Stegostoma tigrinum: one gene and its partner. The protein of the gene in region 1 interacts with the protein of each later gene in a biochemical or structural test. Links are inferred from orthologs where the notes say so. Each region holds a gene or a part of one and is shown on either strand. Other genes may lie near its edges.

Region 1 (7,791 bases):
CAAACAGGTCAGATCATATAAAGTCATTTACTGATCATGGTGCTATATTGTGAAGGAACAGAAGTCAGCTCAGGCCAATGTACAAATCACTGACCATAGTTGAAGAGAACGAGGAAGAACACTCTGATGATAATATGTAGAATGATAGCAATGAACAGCAAGACAACCAAGTTTTCAAAAATGTCTAACAGAAAACAACAAGTATGTCTCCAGTTGCAGACACGATCACCAGATCAGGACTAGTTATCAAACCTCAAAAGCATTACATTGCTTTCTGAAATGTTAGTCTTGCAAACTCTGTTTTACATTGTCTATATGATTATTCAATTAACAACACATAGATCATAGATCATAGATTCCCTACAGTGTGGAAACGGGCCCTTCGGCCCAATAAGTCCACACCGAGCCCCACAGCATCTCACCCAGATCCACCCCACATAACCCACCTAATCTACACATCCCTGAACATGACGGATGGAATCAAACCTGGTTCCTTTGCACTGTGAGGTTGCAGTTCTAAACACTGCGACACCATGCCGTCCCATTAATTGATGAAAACAACTGTCGCCAGGCAAAAGCAAGCTCAACATTCAGCAGACTCATCCATAGAAATCCATAGAAACCCTAACCCTATCGCAGCCTCTCTGATGAAGGGTCTAGGCCCGAAGCGTCAGCTTTTGTGCTCCTGAGATGCTGCTTGGCCTGCTGTGTTCATCCAGCCTCACATTTTATTATCATAGAAATCATGGAGTTGGTTTTGAAACATATATCAAAATTTACCAGGCAGCAGTCATCACATGCTCATGTAAAACCATGTTCATCTATTTGATTTTGCTTTGTCTTAGGAAAAGGGCGGTGTTGTGTTACATACCAGAATCAGCATGTCAGCATTTTTTTTAGATTAATTCCCTACAGTGTGGAAACAGGCCTTTCGGCCCAACAAGTCCACACTGCCACTTGAAGCATCCCACCGAGGCCCATCTCCCTATAACCCACACACCCCTGAACACTACGGACAATTTAGCATGGCTGAGCCACCTAGCCTGCACATCAGTGAACTGTGGAAGGAAACTGGGGCACCCGGAGGAAACCCACGCAGACACAGGGAGAATGTGCAAACTCCACACAGACAGTCATGCGAGGTGGGAATCAAACCCGCGTCCCTGGTGCTGTGAGGCTGCAGTGCTAACCACTGAGCCACCGTGCCGCCCTAAAACATGACTTCCTGAGGCTGAGCACTAACCGGACCAGGAAATATAGGCTGCCTCCAGACTTGAACTCGGATCGCAGTGTTCAGAAACCCACGTGCTCACCATTACACCATGGCAGCCGGAGCGTGTTTTTAAGAGATTTGCTAATGATATCATCACTGTTTCATTGCATATGACAAGAGTACAAATGTCTCATCCTCCATCTACCTTGGATCACTTGAAGCATGACGCTCCACTAGAAGCATGCTCCTCTGATGTAACCTAATAGCTTAATATTAGCACTGACACATATATGCCTGAGAAATGTAATATTTATACCTAATAGTTATAATAAACATCTGCTAGATTCTTCAATACTATGTTTCAGTTAAAATACCGTGCTGACAAACTAGGCATTAGACAAACTAACGCCACATCAGTTGCAATGAGTTGGCACTATATTGGCATAGGGGCTACAAAGTGTGTGGACTGAGTACAGCAGCATTGAGGCTTTCAAGTATCATGAGTGCATTTATGGGCACAGGTAGGAATGGAGAGTAAGTGGAGCTCTGGGGTTAGGTTCAGTGATGAATTTAGGAACACGGTTTGGCATGGATGGGGACGGGTCTACGAGGGGCATGAGGGCTGTTTTATGATATTTTTAAACTTCAACAAATTGCTAAACTCAGAGGATCCTGCCAACTCCACACTTACCGGCCTCTGTGTTTGTCATGCAGCCCATCTTGCATAACACCTGCAAGCCCCAAAATGAAAATCCCGGCTGCCTCCTGGAAATTGTCCTGATTCTAAGCTCTTGACCTAATAGTGAAACTTCAGACTCAGGTCTACATTCTACTGGAGAAAATTCTCCTGAACACGAGTGGAATTCTCTTTCCCCTCTTTGCCCTCTACACTGCTACTAGCCAGTCTATATTTGTACAATTAAAGCCCTCTACTCTCTAAAATTTCTTTGGGAATTTGTTTTGCTGCAACTTTCCCGTTAGTTGGTAGTCAGAAGAACTACCAAAGCAAAGTAATCGCACAGTTTTTTTGTTCCTTAACTCTAACCAAATTGATTCTGTCCTTGACCCCTTTGGGACATTCTCATTTTCCAGCACTGAAATGCTCTTCTTGATTAATACCAACAGACCTTCCCTTTTCACAGTTTCCTCTCTTTCATGATCAGCTTGTATTCAGGAATATTAAACACCCAGTCTGGATGTTCCTTAAGACAGGTCTCTGCATATGTCCATAATACCAAACTTCCACATGACAATCTGTGCCTATCAACCTATTTACTACACTCTATGCGTTCCCATACATGCTTACTGACCTTGACTTAAACTATATTACTTTCTTCTTTATTCTCAACTCACCTGATAATTTACTCTTTCCCAGAATTTGTGCACCTTGATAGTCTTCTGTGATATCAGTTCCTGGTTCCCACACTCTCTTCATCCACTTTTTTTTCTTTGTCTTATTCCTTTCTTCCTCTTCTTTTCTCAGTTTTTAGTTTTAGCTCAAACTTACCTGATAAAGAGAGCTCTTCAGTAGGAAGGCATTTTCAATAAGCTCCAGAGCGGAGGCAGCATCTTCAGAGGCAAACTTCAGGTAAGTTTGAGCTAAAACTAAAAACTGAGAGAAGAAGAGGAAGAAAGGAATAAGACAAAGAAAAAAAGTGGATGAAGAGAGTGTGGGAACCAGGAACTAATATCACAGAAGACTATCAAGGTGTCTACAGAGTCGGCCAGCCTATGAAGCCTGCAGTGGGCCCCTGGGGGGGTGGGGGGGTGGCAGCACGGCACAGGCTGGTGTAGTACGGAGTGAGACTTTGGCAGCGGCATGGCATGTGCTGGGAAACCTGGAGCATGACTTGGGTGGCGGTAAGGCATGGCAGGGAAGCCCAGAGTGGGATTTTGAAAGCGGCATGCTATGGACTGGTGAAGCAGAGAAGGAAAAGTTGGGCTCTCTTTAAGTTATCTTTCTTCACTTTTTATTTCAAATGAATGTGAATGGTGTCTATGCATGGCAAAGGTACACACTTTTCACTGTATTTTATACTGAATACATGTGACAATAAATGATTTGCTTCAATTCACTTCAGATCAAAGGAGGCAGACCCTGACAGGGGCCAAGGGCAAACAGTGGAAGGAACGTGCAAAGATTTAAGTGTCTCAGCCATCCATTCACCAGCTTCAGCAAACAGCACTGTCCCAACTACAAAAGGCTTTGTGGATCCAGCACTGGACTTTTTACTTACTTCAGGACCCACAACACCAGAACAGAAGATCATGTCCAGAGTGTGTCTTGATGGACAGAATCCATGTTGTGGCAGAGGGAAGAGCTGTCATTCTCGATTCTGAAGGACTGCCTGAGGAGAAGGATATGAAATTGACTGAGAAAAGGTTCTAGTTTGACCTTGTTGGCTGGAAACAAATGCTGAAGAAAAAGTGAATCTTTAAAGCCAAGTGGAAGTCATCTCCTGACAAATTGTTTTTCAAAAAGATGTGCTTGTCCAAAGGAATTGTTTGGGATGCTAGGGAAAGGTAATGTTGCTTTTTGATGGTTCAAGAGATTAAGGTCATTAACAGTCCCATTGAGCTCACCTGAGGGAGCTGGGAATCCCATTTTCCCAAAGCACTTTCCTTGGGATTCCTTTTTCAGCTGGTTTGAGGTGATAGACCTGGCACTGTCTATGGGCACTGTGTAGATCTGCTCGTTCCAATGTCAAATGCTGCTAGTGAGAATTACAGCACCAGGGGCAGCTCTTTGAGGAATTTGACAGTCATTCCATTACAGGAAAGGTGATGACAGAGGTGAGATGTCGATGGTGGACAATGTCAACGGATGGTAGAATCAGGAGGTGAGTCTGTAAGAGACGGATTTGAGTCTCTGCAGGCAATGAAACTGAGAAAGGTTGAAGATGGAGAGGAAGAGAGGAGAGAAGCTAATGAGTGAGGGGGTAAATTGGTGGAAGGTGGAGACTGGAAGAGGGGAGAGTCGGAGGAGGGGTGTGGGGACGCTGAGGGAGGGAGATAGGCGAAGGCAGAGGGAGGTGGGACTGAACCTGACGCTGACTCCTCCCTGGGCACTGTCCTGAACTCGTGTCTCCACCCACATCCTCTTTCTCACTTCCTCATTGCGATCTGTGACTCAAAAGAAAGTGGACCGTCGGTAGGTTCCCGGTCTGGCCGTGTCTCCGGCTCCGCAGGTAAGGGGAGCCGCAGCTTAATGTTGGGTTTCTGACAGTGCTTGATTCGGACTAAGCTCTGCTTTGTAAAGACCCCCGTTGTTAGCAGTTTGCCTGAGGAGCAGGTTGTTTCACGTTGACTCACAGGCTGTAAACCTGCGGTTAAAGTTTTGGGAAAGATTGCTCAATGCACAACGTTTCAAAACATTGTGTAGTACCCGACAAATAGGTGCTAATTTCAAATTTTAGGATAACCAGGAGATCAATACGTTACCAGAAAATTCATTTTAATTTTCACGCCAGTTGTTTATGTTTTATATAATTCATTCACGGAGCGTGGGCGTCACTGGCTATACCAGTATTTATTACCTATGCCTAATTGCCTAGAGGGCAGTTAAGAGTCAATACTAGGGAGATAGCAAGAACTGCAGATGCCGGAATCACACTGCGGTGTGGTGGTGGAGGAACCCGGCAGACCAGGCAGCATCGGAGCAGTAGGGAAGTTGACGTTTCAGGTCAGGACCCTGGATCTGGAGTCACATGTAGGCCAGACCTGGTGGTCTAAATTCAGACTATTCTCCAGTTCTTGCTTGAAATGATTAGCAGTAATAGCTTATGGGGTTGGTTAATACTCTTGTTATTTATAATTTCTTCATAGTGATTTGGGGGTTAGATCACAGGTCAATCCGGTGTTTGGCTATAAGATGTAGGGGCAAAATTAGGCCACCTGGCCCCATAAATCAGCTCCACCAGTTGATCATGTTTCTCAAATCCATTCTTCAGCCTTCTCCCTGTAATCTTTGGTCCCCTTTACAGATCAAGAACTAAGTCTGACTTAAATACAACAGTACATATTGGAAGTATAGGACAAGTTGAATCTGACCACAGATAGTGATCAAGTCTGTTTTCACCAACATCCATATATCCACACATCTCAGCTGGGTACTCGAGTTTACTCCCTCAGTCCAAAGATGTGCAGGCTAAGTGGATTGGCCGTGCTAAATTGCCCATAGTGTTCAAGGATGTGTAGATTAGGTGGGTTTGGGGAATGAGTCTGGGTGGGATTCTCTGAGGGTCATTGTGGACTTGTTAGGCCACTGTAGAAATTCTATGGATCAGCAACATGAACTAAGCGTAGGTGTTCGACAAAGCTTTGTGGAACATCTAGGCTTGGTTCATGACAAATGACTGCACCTCCCAGTCGCTAACCGCTTCAACTCCCCTTCCCATTCCTTGGACGACATGTCCATCTGGGCCGCCTCCAGTACCACAACGATGCCCCCGAAGGCTGCAGGAATTGCACCTCATATTTAGTCTGGGAACCCTGCGGCTCAATGGAGTCAATGTGGACTTCGCGAGCTTCAACATCTCCCTTCCCCTGACCTCATTCCAAAACCAGCTCAGCTCATGTCTGCCTCATTGACTTGTCTGTCTTTTCTCCCACCTATTTGCTCCTTCCATCTCACTGATCAACCCTCATCCCTGCCTCCTTGACCTGTTTGTGCTCCCTCAACTGAGCAATCCCCATCCCAAATCCCTACGTACACTCAACTTTACTGGCTCAGTCCCTGCTGCCTCGACCTGTCTGTCTTCTCTCCACCTATCTGCTCCTTTATCCAACTTCCATCATCGCCTCCCCACCTCTCGTTCTTTTTTCATTGTCCCCTATCCCTCCCCCATTTCTGAAGAAGGGTTCAGACCCAAAATGTCAGCTTTCTTGCTCCTCTGATGTTGCCTGGCCTGTTGTGTTCATCCAGCTCTACACCTTGTTATCTTTAACTAGCAACTGTTTTTATTACTTGAGAGGATTGTGGCTCTAAACTGCCCACACTTCTGGAGCTGTGAACCTTATCTCTAGCACAAATGGGACATGTCAGATTAATTATAGCCTCATAAATCTTCATCAAGATAAGAATGGGGAAAAGTAGAGTGGCTAGAAGCAGCTAAATAATAGTCTTAATCTTAGTGACAGAGAAGTTGCTGAACTCTTGGACTTACTGGAGGGAATTTAAGGAGCTCAGAATGGAGTTGAGGAGATAGTAATGCAGAAAAGGAGTAGGGTTAATTTTGTTCTCCATAATGGTACTGGTTAATAAGTGAATGGCCACACAGGGATTGATGTGGCCCAGCTAGATCTGATGATGAATTGCTAAACTAGTTCTGTGTTGGACCTATTCAAGTCTGTGTCCTTTCTGATTGTGTGAATAAAGATGGGACAATATTAGAAAATACTAATAAAGAATTTTTTTTACAACTGGAATTGCTGCTAAATAGGGAGATAGCGAAGTAACTAAGCACTTGGACAGTAGTGGAAATATCCTGGTGAATAGGCCGCTTAAGGGTTTGAAAAAGTTGCTTCCACGGTGAATGCAGAAGGATGTTGCTTGAGAAAGTGGAAGTGGAGCATGGGTTGCACGAGAAAGTGAACAGAAATTCTCACTAATGTTCTGTGGTCGAGACAACGAAACTGGAGAAGCTGGGAAGCTGGAAAGGACAAGGGAATGGCCATGACTCTGTGAAAGTTAGAGACAGAGGATGGCAGTGAGATCAAAGAGAAACGGCAATATTGTGGATTGAGGTCGAAATCCATACAGTCTGAATTGTGTCTTAGTATAGGGAACAAGGGGGAAAAAAAGATTGAAGGAATGTCTTTGAGAGAACCTTTGAGTGAATGGGAGAGTGTGAACATTTTGGAAGGGGTATGGTGGAAGTGTGAGGACCTCAAAGGAGGAGAAGGTGCCTTGAGCATTTAGTGGGAACAATCAAGGTACTTTGGAGTGCAGGTACATAGTTCCTTGCAGTTGGAGTTGCAGGGACACAAGATTGTGAAGAAGGCTTTTAGCATGCTTGCATTGAGTATAGAAATTGAGCTAACAAGGTGCGGAGCTGGATGAACGCAGCAGGCCAAGCAGCATCTTAGGACCAGGAAAGCTGACATTTCGGGCCTTCATCAGAAATGGGGGAGGGGAAGAGGGTTCTGAAATAAATAGGCAGAGAGGGGGAGGTGGATTGAAGATGGATAGAGGAGGAGTTGCAGTGGGAGAGAAATCCCCTGAGGTTTGTTCGGAGGGTGGAGGGTAACTTCTTCAGGTTAGGCATTCTTACAAGATGCTTCGCAGTGGGGTATTGTTACGGCTGTACGGAATATTGGTTAGGCCACTTTTGGAATACTGTGTTCAATTCAGGTCTCCCTGCTGCAGGTAAAATTTACAAGGATGTTGTTAGAGTTGGAGGGTTTGAGCTAAGGGAGAGGCTGAATAGGCTTGGACTATTTTCCCAGGAATGTCGGAGTCTGAGGGTGACCTTAGAGAAGTTTATAAAATTATGAGGGGCATGGATAGGGTAAACAGCCAAGGTCTTTACCCCAGGATAGGGGAGTCCAGAACTAGACAGCTTGGGTTTGAGGTGAGA
Region 2 (8,098 bases), on another chromosome or scaffold:
CCTACCATAACTAAATTTTAACTAAGTCCCAATCTGTTCACATGAGTGCTAGCTATCAAAGCATGTTAAGTCTGAAGATAAATAAATCAGGCGTTGCACCAGTCATTTTTTGCAATGCTATATTTTGTACTAGTAAAGTATTGCTTGGTTTTATTCCAGCCATTATTTGACAACTGATAACAAAATTGCACTTCAACAGCACGATCCAACGAAAACCAATCATCAGTGCCTAGATCATGGCTCCTTAACCAAACGAACTACAATGTCGGTTATAAATATGATTTTATCAATAATAATGCAGATTTTTTAAAAACTGTTCATTGCATACAAGTTATATATGCGCCTACACAGACACGCTTAGACGAAATCTCGGTCTAAATAATCATCCCTTATGCCCCAACTTGTTAAGAATGGACTTAGGCAGACTGGATTCTGATGACTCAAATGCTGGGGTGTTTCAAGGTTGAATCTTGTCTTAACACAGAAACTTTCTGAAGTTCCTCTGGACCAGTGGAGGTTTTGGGGTTGGTGTGAAGCAAGTGGTCGCTTCCACTCACATCGTCTCCCTCTTTCTGGTTTTCCAATTGCGTGCGCGGGCGTTTGTTGTGCAGAGAGCCGTCGAGACAGCAACGCCTGTGCTCACGGTTGAAAGCCTCCCGAAGAGCGGACCCTTGACAACCGCCCAGCACGGACTTTGTTTGATATGCACGCCGTTTGACTTTGCTCTTGGGTTGTCAAGGATCGCTTCTCGCCGGGCTGTTTGCTTTAGAGCGATTTTCTCAGACACTGGGTAATCCAAGATGAAGAGTTGTGTGTGTGTGTGTGTGTGTGTGTGTGTGGTGGGGGGGGGGGGGGGGGTTTGAATTCCACTTTTGTGGATTTTTGTCTACTTCTTTGTGGCTTAACATTAAACATCAAAACTCCCACCCTACCGCCAACACAACTTTACAGTCCCTACAACCTTGGAGGGCATGAGAAGTGACCAAAGCTAAATTACAAGAGGTGTTGCAAAAACAGGTCCTAAACGTGGGGGGTGGGGGGCAGAGTGCATGTGTGTGTGCGCGCGCGCGGAAGGACCTTGGTTGACTTTAGCTTTTCCACATTTTTTTTGTCATGAACCTGTCTTTAATAAGAAGCAGTACCTTGCTTTTATCGACGCTGTCCTCTTTAAACACAACCCGCACGACCCCCCACCCGTCCCCGCCAGACACAAAAAACTCATTGTCCGCCCAGCAGCCGCCAAAACTCGGCGAAGTCAAGCGAGCAAACTTTCAGGGGAGCAGGCTAAAAACTGAGTCAGGGATTAGCTGCCGAATAAATATGCGACCCAATGCAAAAATTGTTTTATTTTTGTGTGTGTGTTACTGAAGATCCGCTTTTTTTGAGGGAAAAAGAAACGTGAGATCTGTTCCATTCTGTGTGTGTTTGTGAGAGGGGATCGAGAGCGCTTGTCGCGCGCGAGCAGTTCTGACAGGAAAGTTTTCGCAGGAAAAGATCTGACCAAACACCGGCATTACCATAACAAAAGACTCGGCGGCTACTCGTACAGCCGCAGCTCCAACCTTTCATCAACAAGAAAAAGTTAAACAAACACCAAGTTAACAACAAAGTCGCGGAGGCGCCAGATGCAGCTGGAGTGGGGGTGGGTGGGTGCTGGGCGCAACTCTCCATCTCTGTAAACAATTTGGTATTGGGAAATTTCGGGTTCATGCAGAAAACACCCCACTTCTTTCACCCCTCCGACCCCTTTCTAAGTCACCTCATCCCCACCACTACCACAAGTAGTACCAGCGCTGGACACCTCACCTCATCCTCCCCTAGTACCAGGGACAGTGAGGAGTGGACTTTCCTGTTCCCGTGGGGAAATGTCACCTCCCAGCGAGAGGTGGGGATGGGGGGGGAGAGAAAGGAGGAGGTTGCGCGCTGTGTGTCTCTAACACGTAGAAAAAAAGAGCTGCTACTTGTTTCGGTTACGGAGATTAGGTGGTGGGAGACTTGCTCTCTCTCACGCTGGAGGCCGTGTGAATTACAACTTGCCCGGGTTTAGCAGCAGCGCGCTTCTTGCTCGATCGAACTTTTGAAGGACGTCAGAAATCGGCAGCACCTTGAGCTGTGGGTTTCTTTACTTCCCAGTGTTGGAGCTTCCAGCGGCCCGCCAACTGGAGAAAGTGGCGATGAAGTGTGTTCGGGGCCGCACTGAAAAAGCTGGCGAACAGAGGCCAGACTTCGCACTAAGTTACTGTACTTACCCCCGCCCCAGCAACCACCCTCCACCCCAAACCGATACACTTCTAGTAGAGAAAACTCGGTAGAATGCCGTAGATTGCTTAAACTATGACTACATGATTACCGCGGAGCCTCAATTACCTCCTCCACCTCCCCCCACCCACCCCCGTAACTTCGATGACTTTCTAGGTAACTCGATGCTGACATGCTAACCCTAACCCGTCCAAACTCGCATGAGTCTTTCTGAAAAGTACAGGACGGCGACAAAAAATAAAAGTGACAACTTTCAGGAGTTCCCTTTTCCCTCGTGCGGTTCGCACACTATGTGACTATTTCCCCCTGCACGAATGGTGTGATCCTAGAAGAGAGATCCCTTTCGGTCTCCTCCAGCCTGTCAAGTCTCCGCCGATTTACTCCACGGGAAACAACAGCGAAATTGCAGGAGGAGAAAGAGAAACCTCGCGCAACTCAACTCCCTCAAACTGACCTACTCTTGGTGAATAACCTCACGCTAAAACAAGCCCCGGGGACTCCCACACCTCAGCTTAACACCCCACATCCTCCTCTTCCTCCTCCTCCCCCCCAACAACAACCACCCCAGCAGCAGTTGTGTCTGCGTTGCCAATGCAAATTATTTATCGAAACCCACTTTGACAAACGACAAACATTTTTTTTTCTTCTCTGTAAAACACCCCAAACTGCACGTGGGGCTTTGCAGGAAATTAGAGCCAAGCCAAGCCGAAAGAGTTAAACCTGAAAGCGAGAAGGGCAAGGGGGGAGAGAGAGAGACAGACAGAAGAATGAAATTCAAACTTACCAGTTGGTGCTGCTTTTAGGTTGTTGGGCAACCAGGAGATAATTTGACCCTGCAACACACATGCGATTGTGTACGAGAAAGCATGCAACAAGCACACAATAAATAACAATATATTACTCCGCTCGGGCACTACGTTGTAGAGCAGCCGCTTTCCAAACACACAAAAATCCCTTCAGCACCAACTAGAAAGCGGGGACCGAGCTCAACACTTGATCAGATCTTTCCCTATGCTCCCGCAGCGCTTTCCCCTTCCACTTTTCATTATTCACAATTCTAGCGAACTTAATGAGTTTTTTTTGTTGGAGTAGTGGTTTGTGTGTGTGTGTGGAGGGGGGGTTGGAAGATACAAATCGCGGAGTTGGATGTTGTTATTTTTTGCTGTAAGCTGGCCCCTGACGTCATATCCACCTGCTGTGTAAACAACATGTATCAGAGCTTTTCAGAGAAGGGGAGGGGGGAAGCTGCTGCTTGCTTCAGGATCTCTGCTTGCAGTACAGGGCGGCTACAGCAACTTTGGCGTGAGCACCACAAATAAAGCAGTCACTACAAACCCCCTCCCCGTCCTCTGTCTAATCACCAAAAAAACCTCACCGTCTCTCTCATTTCTGGGCTCTGAAGGAGCAATGAAAGTGATTGTGGAAATGTTGAAAGTGTGTGTGTGAGAGAGAGAGCGCTCCACTCTCTCTCTGTAGCAGACAGCTGCTGGGCCAAGCAGCCCAACCCGACTCCGGGAGACGCAGCGCTGCGCTCCTCTTCCCCCCACCTCGGCTCGGCTCGCTCGGTGCTCTCTGGCCAATGAAGGCAGTTGGGTTCGGGAGGTGAAAGTTCAGCAAGAGGACAACCCTGTCAGGAAGTAGAAATTGTCAATCTGTGGAGTGCCAAACCTACTGTTATCTTACTCCACTGACCAGTTCAAAGCAAAACGAGGACAAGCTGCGAAGTGCCGGTCTGCACGTGTCATTTTTTTTCTCTCTCTGTGTGTCTCTTTCTCATTCAGTCAACACGGCCAGGAGCGTTTACTTATTGTTTAGTCCGAGTAAAATAACAAAATAAAGTTGTTGGTAGGGGGTAAGATGCAGAGGGTAAAGTTTGTAACTTGTAATTTATGTCGTTTCCTATTCACGATTTGTTGTGCACCTTTGTGGTGCCAATATTTGAGCTCTTTGGCGAACGGAGAGGATCCTCTTTGATATGATTGCCTGGGTGTGATCAGCCTTAACTCCACCATAGCGGAGTAGGATAGAGTCCTCTAAACCTTCAGTCTCCTTTCAAGACCCGTCCTCTGATACATTGTGACTCTGCTGACTACTGGAATTGACATATAACTCTTCCCGAAACAATCGAGCACACCAAACTGCGAGATTTTTTCCTTGATAGCCTTATAATAATAACATTAATTACGAACCCGATGGGGCGATTTTTCTTTTCTTGAAAAAATGCTTGCGAATCGGTTCAGTAGTCCAATTAACACTTCCAGAACGTAACATTAATCTGCAATTTAACTGAAATCTTTCTGAAACCTTGCCTGTCCTTGATCAAGGACTGAAATGCAGAGGTATAAATTTATTTATAAATGACGCTTAATTTATTACAGGGACCATCAGAGGCCGTGCTGAAGAGTGGCGGATTTCTCAAGTCTCCGTTCTACTCAGAGATGGATTTGTGCAGATGAAGAGCCTGGAACGCCATCCCCTGGTTACAAAAAAAAAATCGGGAAGCGCCAAGGAGGAAATAATGCACATAGAATGGCAGTATTATTTGAGCGCGTTTCGATGCAGATGAAATGGTACAAAGTTAGGAATATTATAAATATTTCATGCGTGTAGGCGTCATGATTGAAAAGAACAAAAAGTCAGAATTCTTATAATCTAATGATAATATTGTCACATTTAGGTTTCATTCAAATTATACAAGGAATGCTTTTTATTAAAGTTATTACTTTGAATGCAATTATAGAGCCAGTTGAAGCCAATCCACGACGTGTTTATCACATCAAATACCTGGACAACTGTTAAAATCGTGAGTCATGAATCTTCTGGCGAACCCCGCAGATCTTCCCAGCTATGTAAATACTAGCCCATTGTACACCAAATAAACTAAATCCCCTCCTTGTTAACAAGGTGGAAACCGAAAATCGTTGGGATATATCCCCCACCTAACGAATAGCTTCGAATAGCAGAAAGTAACCCAGCTCGTTTGAATTGACTGCACTTTTCCTGAACCCCTTCCGAGCAAATTCCTAACACCGTTTCTGACTGCGATGTCCGTCCCTAAACGCAAAGAATGTGCCGACGGTTCAATCCGATTTCCATCAAATTGTGACCGTCCCTGTACGTTTCGGATAACTGTGTGGAGATTTAGCGGTTCTAAATTCAGCCTGTTGGACTTACCTGGCTGCTGATTTTAATTTGTTGTTGTTTTGAAATGCAAAGCACAAGCACGGAGCGGCAACAAATAACGAGATAATAACAAACAAATTCGGCATGCAAGCTAAATGTTAAACTTTATTGCAAAGTTAATCCAACTATCATTTCTGTGTACTTTATGGGCGTTTCGACTCAAAATCTTTTCTCAAAAAAACACATGCCTGATTTGATAACTGCATTTTCAACTCATTTCATCGTTACATGATGAGACTCTTTTTCAATGATGCCATTAATTCTATATTTAATTTTTTTCTATTCGAAATGAAACTATACCAATTCAGCGTATTTGGTTTTATAGCATTAAGATCAACCGAACATCTGATGGATGGTTTCGCAAATTATATCATATTACATGGAGGGGTTTTCCTCGTACAATAACTGCATTTTTATTTCAAAATCTTAAAATTCCAGTGAAAACTATTTTAAAATCGGACAAATGGGTTTTCGCGATATTTCATTTCCATTGTTCTGGTCTCCATGGTACTTACGGTTGCAAAGTAATTGAGTTTTGTTTCAGCCGCGAATGTTGTAAAGATTTTCTGCAAAGATTAATTCATGTATTAAGCATGCTTGGTGTCCATTCAGTCTTCCACATCTGTAGTATTCTAGAGATGTTAACCATATGGTACGCATCTCCGGGAGTAAATCGTTCGGAATAACCTTGTGCAGTCTGATTTTCCCTGACCCCTCTGGCTCGCTTAATGCTTATACCACTCTTTAAAATGATTATGAAGAATAGCGCTTTATGCCCGGATACATCGCAGGGAGCATTTTAACTTTTCTGAAGGGGTATCGACGATGTTTTGTAAATTAGCGTTAAATTGTTGTGGGTTTTACCTACATGGACGTCCAACTGTATAGCATACGGTTCTTCAAATGGTATCGGTACTCAATCGGGATTGTGAATGTTGACCTCTATAGACTACATCCGTGATTGACGTCCAGAAATGTAGATCTTTTTATAGACACAAGCTCCAGTAGTGGCATACCCTAATTCTATATGTTGTTATTTGTGCTCATACTGTACCTACATAGCCAGGCATCAATTTAGGCTGGTATACGTGGAGTTAGTGTGAGTTGTATGGGCAGTCTGTTATATTGTCAAGCGATGTACTTGTTCTCCACCCCATGCTTACTACATTACATTAATGCTGCACCAAAAATGGTTTAATATTCGGGATGGATTCATTGTTCAAAACTATTCGCTGACGGGAATGATTTTGCTCTTTGGATATACCAGCATGTAGGGAACGTGTTGATGTTGTGGTCATTTATGCAACTCAAGGGAGAGGACCGCGGATAAAGTAACATTTACGGCTGGGCATCTTCCCGAAACATGCACCAACTTAATTTTTTCACCCTTTTATCGACTTGTTTAACGTTTTTGAAAATTTTTTACTCACATTTCATTTGAATTTTCTTACAATCTTACCTTTTAACAATTTACACTTTGAAAAGGTAGTCTCACCAAAGGCTGTAGGTTATGGATCGGCCAGATTGTTTACTTCCTGAATTTCATCTCAGTGGATAACATTACACCATCCCTGATGCTCTGGCAAACAGGGTATGTACAGGACTTTCCTTAAATCTATCCAGGGAAAGTGCCCTTGCAGCTAAAACACTCATGCCCCCATGATGTGTTCATTCGGTCTTGCAACCATTTGAGAGCACAAGAGGGATTAATGACTGCTGGACTACTTAAAAGAGTAGATGTGGAAGCTGGGATTCCTGGGGCCTGGTGAATTAAATTTCTTTACATTTTCTCAAATAAGCAGGATTGCAACCATACAATATAAACTAATATTCCATAACGCTTGATGTTCATGAAAAGCATATTCCTCCAGATTTTTGATTCACCGTATAACCTTTGTTTCTTCCCATATTCTTTCAGTTTTCCTTCATTCCTATCCCAGTACCCTTCCATTGTTTCTTGCTTATTTAGCAGAGGTAAACCAACAATATATAAACAGAATATACATCCTTTCTCCAAATAAAACGTCTCATTGTCTGAAAAGAAACTCATACATATAACAAGTGTTTGACTGTAGGCGTGCCATGATTATATCAATGAAAATCTAGAGATAACAATTTCACAGAACCTAGTAGGGTATTTTCTCTGTGTGGCAATATCATCATTGAATTTGAAAAGAAAATTTCTCCTCACTTAATAAAGTTTGTTCAATGTTTAAAAATAATAATTTCCACATACATATAAAGCAACAATAGAATTTAGAGGCTAACACATTGTAAATTTTGACAGACATCTAAAATGTTGGTAATCAACAATGTAATAATTTATTGTTATTTTTCCTTATCTCTTTTCAGAAGCTAATAGACTTAATGTTACTTCCAATTCTATATTTAACAAAAGTTGAAAAAAATTAGTTTTTTGTCAGTTTCATTATACATCTTTGTTTATATCTTATTACTTTTAAATTTATTTTATTTATAAATTTTATCTTCATTAGTTTCCCTATTGCTTCTTTAATTTGTTAATTTCATCTATTGCTTTATCAACAACTTCACAGCCTAAAGCCACTCTATAATTTTGCAGCTGTGCAAATGTTCCTATTGATCATATAGCCAACACCAAACAAAACGGTACATGCAAATCTACATCATCTTACTG

The links.
Region 2: the proteins of lrrk1 (region 1) and foxp1b form a complex in vitro, tested with the Homo sapiens proteins (2 studies listed by BioGRID and IntAct, with this or other methods). The link is inferred for Stegostoma tigrinum from reciprocal best matches to the Homo sapiens genes LRRK1 and FOXP1.

What each region holds. Positions count from the first base shown.
Region 1 is NC_081386.1:1,579,509-1,587,299, reverse strand, and holds the start of lrrk1 (leucine-rich repeat serine/threonine-protein kinase 1), read left to right. Parts: upstream 1-4,301; 5' UTR 4,302-4,401; intron 4,402-7,791.
Region 2 is NC_081364.1:41,371,757-41,379,854, reverse strand, and holds the start of foxp1b (forkhead box protein P1-B), read right to left. Parts: upstream 3,322-8,098; 5' UTR 3,044-3,321; intron 1-3,043. UniProt on the Homo sapiens protein: Transcriptional repressor. Can act with CTBP1 to synergistically repress transcription but CTPBP1 is not essential. Plays an important role in the specification and differentiation of lung epithelium.